Linked DNA regions of Nothobranchius furzeri. The protein of the gene in region 1 purifies or fractionates together with the protein of each later gene. This does not show direct contact. Links are inferred from orthologs where the notes say so. Each region holds a gene or a part of one and is shown on either strand. Other genes may lie near its edges.

Evidence for each region. The genes of interacting proteins can lie anywhere in the genome.
Region 2: the proteins of kif3a (region 1) and kinesin-associated protein 3 purify together in Homo sapiens (co-immunoprecipitation; 9 studies listed by BioGRID and IntAct, counting the BioPlex papers as one, with this or other methods). This does not show direct contact. The link is inferred for Nothobranchius furzeri from reciprocal best matches to the Homo sapiens genes KIF3A and KIFAP3.

What each region holds. Positions count from the first base shown.
Region 1 is NC_091741.1:97,907,699-97,911,347, reverse strand, and holds part of kif3a (kinesin-like protein KIF3A), read right to left. Parts: intron 3,444-3,649; coding exon 3,287-3,443; intron 3,212-3,286; coding exon 3,031-3,211; intron 2,595-3,030; coding exon 2,484-2,594; intron 1,557-2,483; coding exon 1,431-1,556; intron 1-1,430. UniProt on the Homo sapiens protein: Microtubule-based anterograde translocator for membranous organelles. Plus end-directed microtubule sliding activity in vitro. Plays a role in primary cilia formation. Plays a role in centriole cohesion and subdistal appendage organization and function.
Region 2 is NC_091751.1:58,727,817-58,732,055, reverse strand, and holds the start of kinesin-associated protein 3, read right to left. Parts: upstream 2,902-4,239; 5' UTR 2,769-2,901; coding exon 2,740-2,768; intron 1,474-2,739; coding exon 1,342-1,473; intron 1,210-1,341; coding exon 1,049-1,209; intron 913-1,048; coding exon 851-912; intron 753-850; coding exon 611-752; intron 533-610; coding exon 433-532; intron 356-432; coding exon 231-355; intron 129-230; coding exon 30-128; intron 1-29. Other genes in the region: pdca (phosducin a), read right to left, coding at 3,995-4,183. UniProt on the Homo sapiens protein: Involved in tethering the chromosomes to the spindle pole and in chromosome movement. Binds to the tail domain of the KIF3A/KIF3B heterodimer to form a heterotrimeric KIF3 complex and may regulate the membrane binding of this complex.

The sequences.
Region 1 (3,649 bases):
TACCATTTAACTATAAAAATCGGGCCTAAAGTGCATAGGGTGCAGGTCTAGCGTCACCTGTCAATGTTTTCTTCTGGCCAGCTTGGGTCCTGCGCCTGTCGATGACATCACACTAGCTGATTGGATGGACATGCGACTTACGGAAGTTATTTTACCATGTTCAAAACCATTGAAGTACTAAGAAACATGAATTTAATAACAAAACTGCTAAACTCATTCCAAAACATACATAAAATAGAATTGAAAAAGAGATGCAATAGACTACAATTGCACTGCAATCTCTAAAGCTGGGCGTACACTGTGCGACTTTTTCACTTTTTTGAGCCGATTTTCCAGTCGTGCGAGAATCCACGAGATCGGGGCGAGTTTTGCGCCGAGCGTCGTGTAGTGTACAGGGGGTAACGAGAGGCGATTAACACCACGTGACCAGCTACCAACCAGCAGTCGTGAGCTCGCACAAACTTCTGGCGTGTTTGAAATTTTGCTCGTCCCTCGTGAGGGCATCGCACTGTTGAAGCGGTGCTGCGAGCAGCTGCGACCCAAAAAGTATCAGAACCGCTCATGGCGAATGCGCAATCCTGCATCAACACCGCTCACCCGCTATTTCCCTAATAACACACGCTGTTTGTTTTTATTTCTACACGTTTTTTTACTCACAAAGATTGTCAAGAAAGCGTGTTTGTCGTGTTCATGTCAAATTAAACTGATCACATAACACAGATTTACTTTCTTTATTTCGTTTTCGTCATCCAACCCCATAAATCCCTGTGTGTCCTCCTGCAGCACTCCTGAAGGACAACAGGCAAAACAAGACAAAAAAGTCTGACGTGTTGAGTAAAAACTGCTATTTTTAGCACATTTTTAGGGCCGACGTGTTGCTTCCAGACGTACAGTGTGAGCAGTCAGGTCGCAACCGAGAAGTGGGTCGTGCAGTGTGAGCACATGACTCGTGAGATCTGCTCTGCGAGGAAGTCGTACAGTTTGAGCTGAAGCTGAGTGCTACGAGTGAAAAAGTTGCACAGTGTCCGCCCAGCTTTATGGACTTAACTGAAGGACTATCAAAGTCTGAGGAGTCACGCCAACGTTGCATGCTTTCTGCTCCACAGGTAACATTCAACTGGAATGTTTTTTAAACTAGTGACAGTTGGGAAGATATGGTGTAATATTACCCTGAACTGTTTGTATTACTGCATCCTAGTGGCAGGAAACTACACCCTGCCACTTTAATACGGTTTTACACATGCCACTCAAAGGAATTTTGCCTCTGGTCGCCTTCATATTTGTCGGCCTTAATCACCCTCTATGTGGTTTTCCACCAGCTAGTAATGGTGTTTTAATAGCAACAATGCTAAATACTTTAGATGCGTTCCTGTTGCAAACTAAAGTCATTCAGGCATTTCAAAAAGTGCACGTCAGGAAAACACACACACCTGGTATTCCTGGGGGGTAAAGTTGTCTATGACGAGCATCTGGAGCCGCAGCTCTCGGCTCAGCTGGCGGATGTTTTCCAGGAGGCCCTCGATCTCTCTGCTGTTCTCTTGTCGCAGATCTGCCATCTGACAAACAAATAATAGATAACATAAATTAAGTTATCGATGAATCCACATGAATTCATCCCTGATCAATCAAAACTATACATAATAAAAAGGTCAGCACTGCTCTCTGGTACTGAGGAACCTATGGCTCTTACACATTAGCGTTGGCACGGTCGGGGTTTGGTCTGGCTAGATGGCATGAGTGCGGTCTTGAACGGGCGGTGTGGTATTCACATATAAATCTGAGGGACTTCTCAGGAATGCCTGCGGGCGACATTTAATACACGCGGGAAAGTCCACGATACCCGCCATTATAAGTTAAACAAAGGCAGGCATGAGCTGCGTTGCTTTTGGAAACTCGGAACCACATTATTTGCTGTGTGTCCTCATAATCTTGTGACACACACACACACACACACACACACACACACAGAGGAGAGAGAGGGAGAGGGAGGGAGAGAGAGAGAGAGAGAGAGAGGTTTACTCAACAGCATCCAGCATGAAAATGAATCGCGCATGGGAACCCCCCCCCATGGGTGTAATTTCAGCCTGCCAATCAGTCGGTAGTGTCGCCTCGGTCCCAGTCTGTCCACTGGGGAGAAGGTCTGACCCCCCCCCCCACACACACACACCAAAAGGAACAAGTACACACTTGTTATTAAGCACAGGACATGCAGACTAAAAATATTTTTAGCATCATTGCTTTGGCACCCCCTCCAGCCTGGGTCCCCTATGCATCACATACGTTGAACACCCACTTTTTGCGCCACTGAGTCTGAGCACATTTGGTTCCTCTGTGTTTTATAATGTAGCACAGTTATGGTCTGGCGTGAGCATTTAGAGCTGGTAGGGGCTGACATTGAGTGGTATCCCAGCTGAGGTGTTGATTTGAAGATGATGAGGTGAAAGTTAAGCTACATGAAATGAGGTTTTATCTGTTTTGCTTACTTCTGATTTAGCAGCCATAAGCATGGTCCAGACTTTCTTCAGCTTCTTGGTCTTCCCTTGAGCCTCCTCCTGCAGGCTGGTGTACTTCTCTTCTATGTCTAAACGTTCTTGCTGTTTTAAGAGGAACAAAAGTCACAGATCACACCAAAAACAAGATTCCATTACAAACTATTACAACCTTGCACCACTGCACCATTCTCCATCGTTATTAAATGAAACAAAGGTTTTAACCCCTTTTCTAACCAAAATGTGAAAGCAATTTGACTGAACTGTGTGGTCTGTGGCAGCATGGTATCACATCCTGTCTGCTCCTGTGCAGGATGGTGGTGAGGCAGCAGGCTTATGGTAGAAGACATGGGTTTGTCTAGATTTAGCAAGATAATTATTACCGGTAAACAAGTCAACGTTTTAATAAGCTTTACTGTAAAATGCAGCTTAAAGTTGGCGTTATTAATAAATGACTATTTGGTCACCTGCTCAGATTTCTAATCTGTAGATTATTGTGTAAATGAATTTGCATTTACCGAGCAGACAGCTGGTTTCATACCTCCTTCTCTTCAAGCTCCTTACGCAGCTGCTCGGCTCTCTTGCGACGTTCTTCGAGTTCATTGTTCGATTCATCCAGGAGCCTCTCCTGCTCCTCAGCCTTGGCCAGAAGGTCCACTCCTCCCACTATCACCTTCTTCTCTAAGGCAGATAATTTCTCTAAGAGAAGCTGATGCTCCTGCCTGAGAAGTTTAGATTATTAATGAGTAACTTCCACAAGTATTCAACAACATGTTGGTTTATTTTTGTCAACTCACTGGGCTTTAAAGAGGTCCTTCTCCCTTTTCTCCAGCTCTGCTCTGGCCTTGTTCCTCTCCTCCTCCTCCATGTCCAACTTGGCCTCTAACGCTTTTCTCTCTTCTTCTATCTTTGCCTGCATCTCCACCATCTTGCCTGGAGAAACCTTCTTCTTTCCTGATTGAAGAAAATGACAAAAAATACAAAATGTTCAAAAATGTCTTCTCACGATTTAGAAAAATTGAAGAGAGAACCGAGATCATGCTTATATCAGAGCGACTGAAGCAGACAGCAGCCACCTTCGTGTTTGTTGACTACTCCAGAGCTGGGATCACTTCACTGGCTACTCATCACTTAAGATGAAAATAGAAATTATTTTATTT
Region 2 (4,239 bases), on another chromosome or scaffold:
AAAATTTAAAAGGAAAAATCCTGTTTCACCTCTGAGCAGCTGCTCCTGCTTAGCCAGAAGGGCTTGGTATTTTCTCAGCGTTTTGTCCTGGTCTCGTCTTAAGGAGCCATTTTCTGGCGCAGACTCACGTGCACAAAAGATAGTCAAGGGCAACAGAAACAATACAGAAGACCTCAAAAAAATCGATCATCTTAAATTAAATGGACAAAATGATAGCAGAAAATGGATATAAGCTTTGTTTTTCTTGCGTAGCTCCTCACGCCACATGTCATGCCTCTTCAGTTCATGTTCCACCACACTCATACAAAGCGCTCCGATTTTATAGTGACTCACTGCAGCGTGAAACTGGGAGAAACTGGAGGAAGGGATGTGAAAGGATGAATCATTTAGAAGTACTGAAGGACCATCACGCCAGCTGTGCATCAGGGTTACCTTGAAAAGCAGAAGAAGATGTAAATGATAATAGTAGCAAGCTCTACGCTCTGTTTCCAGTCCTCTCTCAGAACCCGGGCCAGCGCACCTAAAGCTGCTTCTGTAGACACAAACAGGGAGAAATTCACGCTAAACAACTAGAGGATGGCTGCGTAAGCATGTTGGAAGGAACATGTACCGTTGTAAAGCAGCTCCTCCAGGTTATCTGGGTTACGGGCGAGCTGCAAAATGAGACCAGAGCCTCGGATCTTCTCTGGGAGGCCTTCATAAAGCAGCTCAACATACTCATCCATCTTTGTTATGCTAGCTTCCTCGTTCAACTACACACGAAAAATAAATAAAACAACAAAGAAAGAAACACACACTGTTACACCTAACACAACGAATGAGGAATGAAACGAGTACTTAACATCATTACCTCCGTTCCCTCAAATGGTGTCAGATCTTTAGGCTTCACTGTTTTCTTCTCTTTCTTTTCCACTAAAGGCAAACAAGAAAAGCAGTGAATGTTTTACATCCTGCTTCTTAATGTCACTGTGCAGTTAGTCCCTCTCATACTTTATTGGTGTGTTTGAACAATAAATCAGAGCTAACAGGTAAAAGCTTCTAAACGTACCCCCTTTGGCCTCCACTGGGGAGGATTTCCTGTTCTGTAGGTAATAAAGCAGCTGCTCCACCTGTGGCAAGCGGGAGGCGGGGATGAGTTTACACTCCTCTACCACTTTCCTGGCCAAAGCGGCCACATCTGTAGTAGGAGAGAGGCTTTTCACGCGGATTCTGAAGGGGAAAGGAGAAGGATGACACATAACATGTTACATAAACCAGCAAAAACTGCCATTAACTGGTTATTTCTAATAAGATAAAGAACAGGGGCAGATGCTGTCAACGATAAATTAGGAGCTTACTCACATTTTTTGTCCCTCCTTGCGTTCACCCAGCATCGGACCTCCATTCTCCCCCAGGATGGATGCCTCCACCTCATACTGGACCACAAGGGCTTTCTCAGTGGGATGGACATCCAAACTGCCTGCAGTCACTTTTCTATGAATGATAATAAACAGTTTACGCCTGTGGTTTTAGTTTCCAAAGTAAATCTGAGTTAAATACAATTATTTCCATAATGCAATTTAAAGAGCAAGTCACCCCCTACAAGAAACTTACTTCACTCCCTCTTCATGTTTGAAAAATGCAACAAATGCTGTTGCCTAGCAGACCGAGAGGGCGGAGCCACTAACAAATACACACACACAGGCTCACAATGGCATTGTGACATCATAATAGACCAGTTTACATCATAGCATACCTCTTAGCCAATAGCGGTGGCAGATTTAAATTCAAATGCAGTGCAGAGTTTTTACCTGACAACAGCGCAACACTGACAGTTTTAGGCAGAATATTTAAATTTTAACTAAGATGCACTGAAGTATCAAATTATTGACGACACGTGTCTGCAGCACAGTTAGTTACACATTTATATAGTTTATCAGCAAGAAAAAGTTGATTTGGGGGTGACTTGCTCTTTAATGTTGAATGCAGTAATAAGCTCTTGGCAGTGACAGCTATTTTTATTATATGTGTTCCTGGATCAAAAGCAGTAGGACACGCCCATGCACAAACATAACAAAGACTGCTTTTATTTAAAAAAAAAGCTAAACCTCGTCAGCTACAACACTGAATCAAATGTCCCGTGATAAACCTAGTTAGTATGATTTATTATCCGGCTACATTGTTTTTATGTTTAACAGAATCTTCAGGGTTAGCAGGAGCCCAGATTTCCCAGCATTCCTTCCTCTCTGGAGCAGTTCCACTGATTATTACAGTTAACAGGAGGATTGCGACTGAAACGTTTCTTCCAGAAACAGATGCAAGAAAAAGCACATGATACTAAAATCCTGTTGTTGGTCTCTCGTTCTGATGAGCTAAACGCTAACGAAGCAGGGGGCGGTGATTGTAGAAATGCTTTTCAGGAATAGTGTATCTTATAGGTGACAGCTGTGTGAAATTCGTTTATGCCGAATGATTTCGTGGCTCGGGATAGTTAATAATTGCCTATATTCGAAATAAACAGGAATGGTCCAATCTTCAGTCCAGCGTCGGAACCTTAAATTCCCCTAAATTTTAAACAAGACATCGGGTTCAACCTCCAAGCATACAGCTGCACACTAAAACTAGGACGAATTCAAATTAAAACAATAATTAAAACACTCTTACGTCTCACCCAGAGATTATTACTTGTCATCCCTAAAATTATATCAACATGGCTAATTTCAACGGCCAGTACGGTTCTAGCCGCACCTTTCAACTCACCGTTTGAGGTACCGCGCGTCATCCTGCATTTTCTTCCGATTTATGGCTTCAAATTTTTAATTTAACAATTTAAGATCACCTGAAGGATCTCCTGGACAAATAACAACCATTCGAGTCTTTTATTTATCCTCTAAAGACCGCTGAACCTCAAGGTATTCTTTTTCTACTTAACAGGCAGCCTTTAGAGAACACTACTGCCCCCTAGTGGACTGGTTATAGAAATATATGATTCCAACTCTAATGATGTAATTAAGTATTTATTAATTTAAAAAAAAATAAGAAAAATTTGGCTAGAAATATATAATAACTTTACTTTTTACACTTTCATATTTTGTGTGTGTCTTTTTGGGGATAAAAGGTTTAATCTAATATTTACTCCTTATCCTATGTTGCTATTTTGTGCATATTGTTTTGGGGTCAGATTTTTTATTCCTTTAATGCCTCTATGAACTGGGATGCACATTAAGCTTCCAGCTGTCACTCTGAGAGGAGCTTAAAATTTGTTTTGTCTAAAACCTGGACTATATTTGACTTGTTTTGAGATGGCAAAACACGGATGCTGATAAAAATGCTAAATAAACCAGAACATTTAGAACGCTTTGTTCTCACTTCAGAGCCACTCGGATTTAATGTATAAATATTATCAGTGCTTCCTAAATTACTATTACTTTTTTCATTTAACCACCTCTATACTGAGAGGATGTAATACTTGGTAGTGCACAGCAGAATTTATTATTTTTCCACATAAATAATTTCCACGTTCCCAAAAGACATCAGTTATCTTTTCCCTCTCGACAGTAAAGTCCTCCTGGTTCCTCTGTGCCTTTATAATCACTCTGAGAGCAGAAAGGTCAATTTCCACATGAGTCTCATGACTTTAATTTAGCTTAAACCACATATTCACATCACGTAATGCAAACCATTACACAAGCCTTTTAGTTAGAGGAATTATATTTTCATGGTAGCAGCAGCATAATGTTCCATATGTTGCATCTTCCTAATCTGGAATTAATGCACATGGAAATAACTTCCTGTTTTCCATTTCAACAGACAGAAAGAGTTCGAATAAATATCTTTTATTGGAGTGCAATGATACAAGTTTCTGCAAAGCAGGGTTTCTGTACGGACTTCCTCACGCCTACATTCTAAGGCATCAGCATGAGTATTGTTGACTGTTGGGTGCTCGTTCTTTAATTTGCGTGCATGTGACCTGATTGAAACACGTTTTATGACATTCTCTGTCTTTCTTCATCTTCTACTCCACGTCTGCTCCATCGTCTTCATCATCCGCACACGCAGTGAACTCCTTCTCTGGTAAGAGGCCGTATTCATTGAGAAACGCCTCCACATCTGTGGCAAAGAACTCTTCATTGAGGTGTTTGGTGACAGCCAGGAAGTTACCCAGTAACTCCCCGGCCTTGTAGACCAGCAGGGTCGGGAGAACCTGAGATGATTGAAACAATAATCAGATTGTTTCAGAAGACAATTATTTATCAGTGA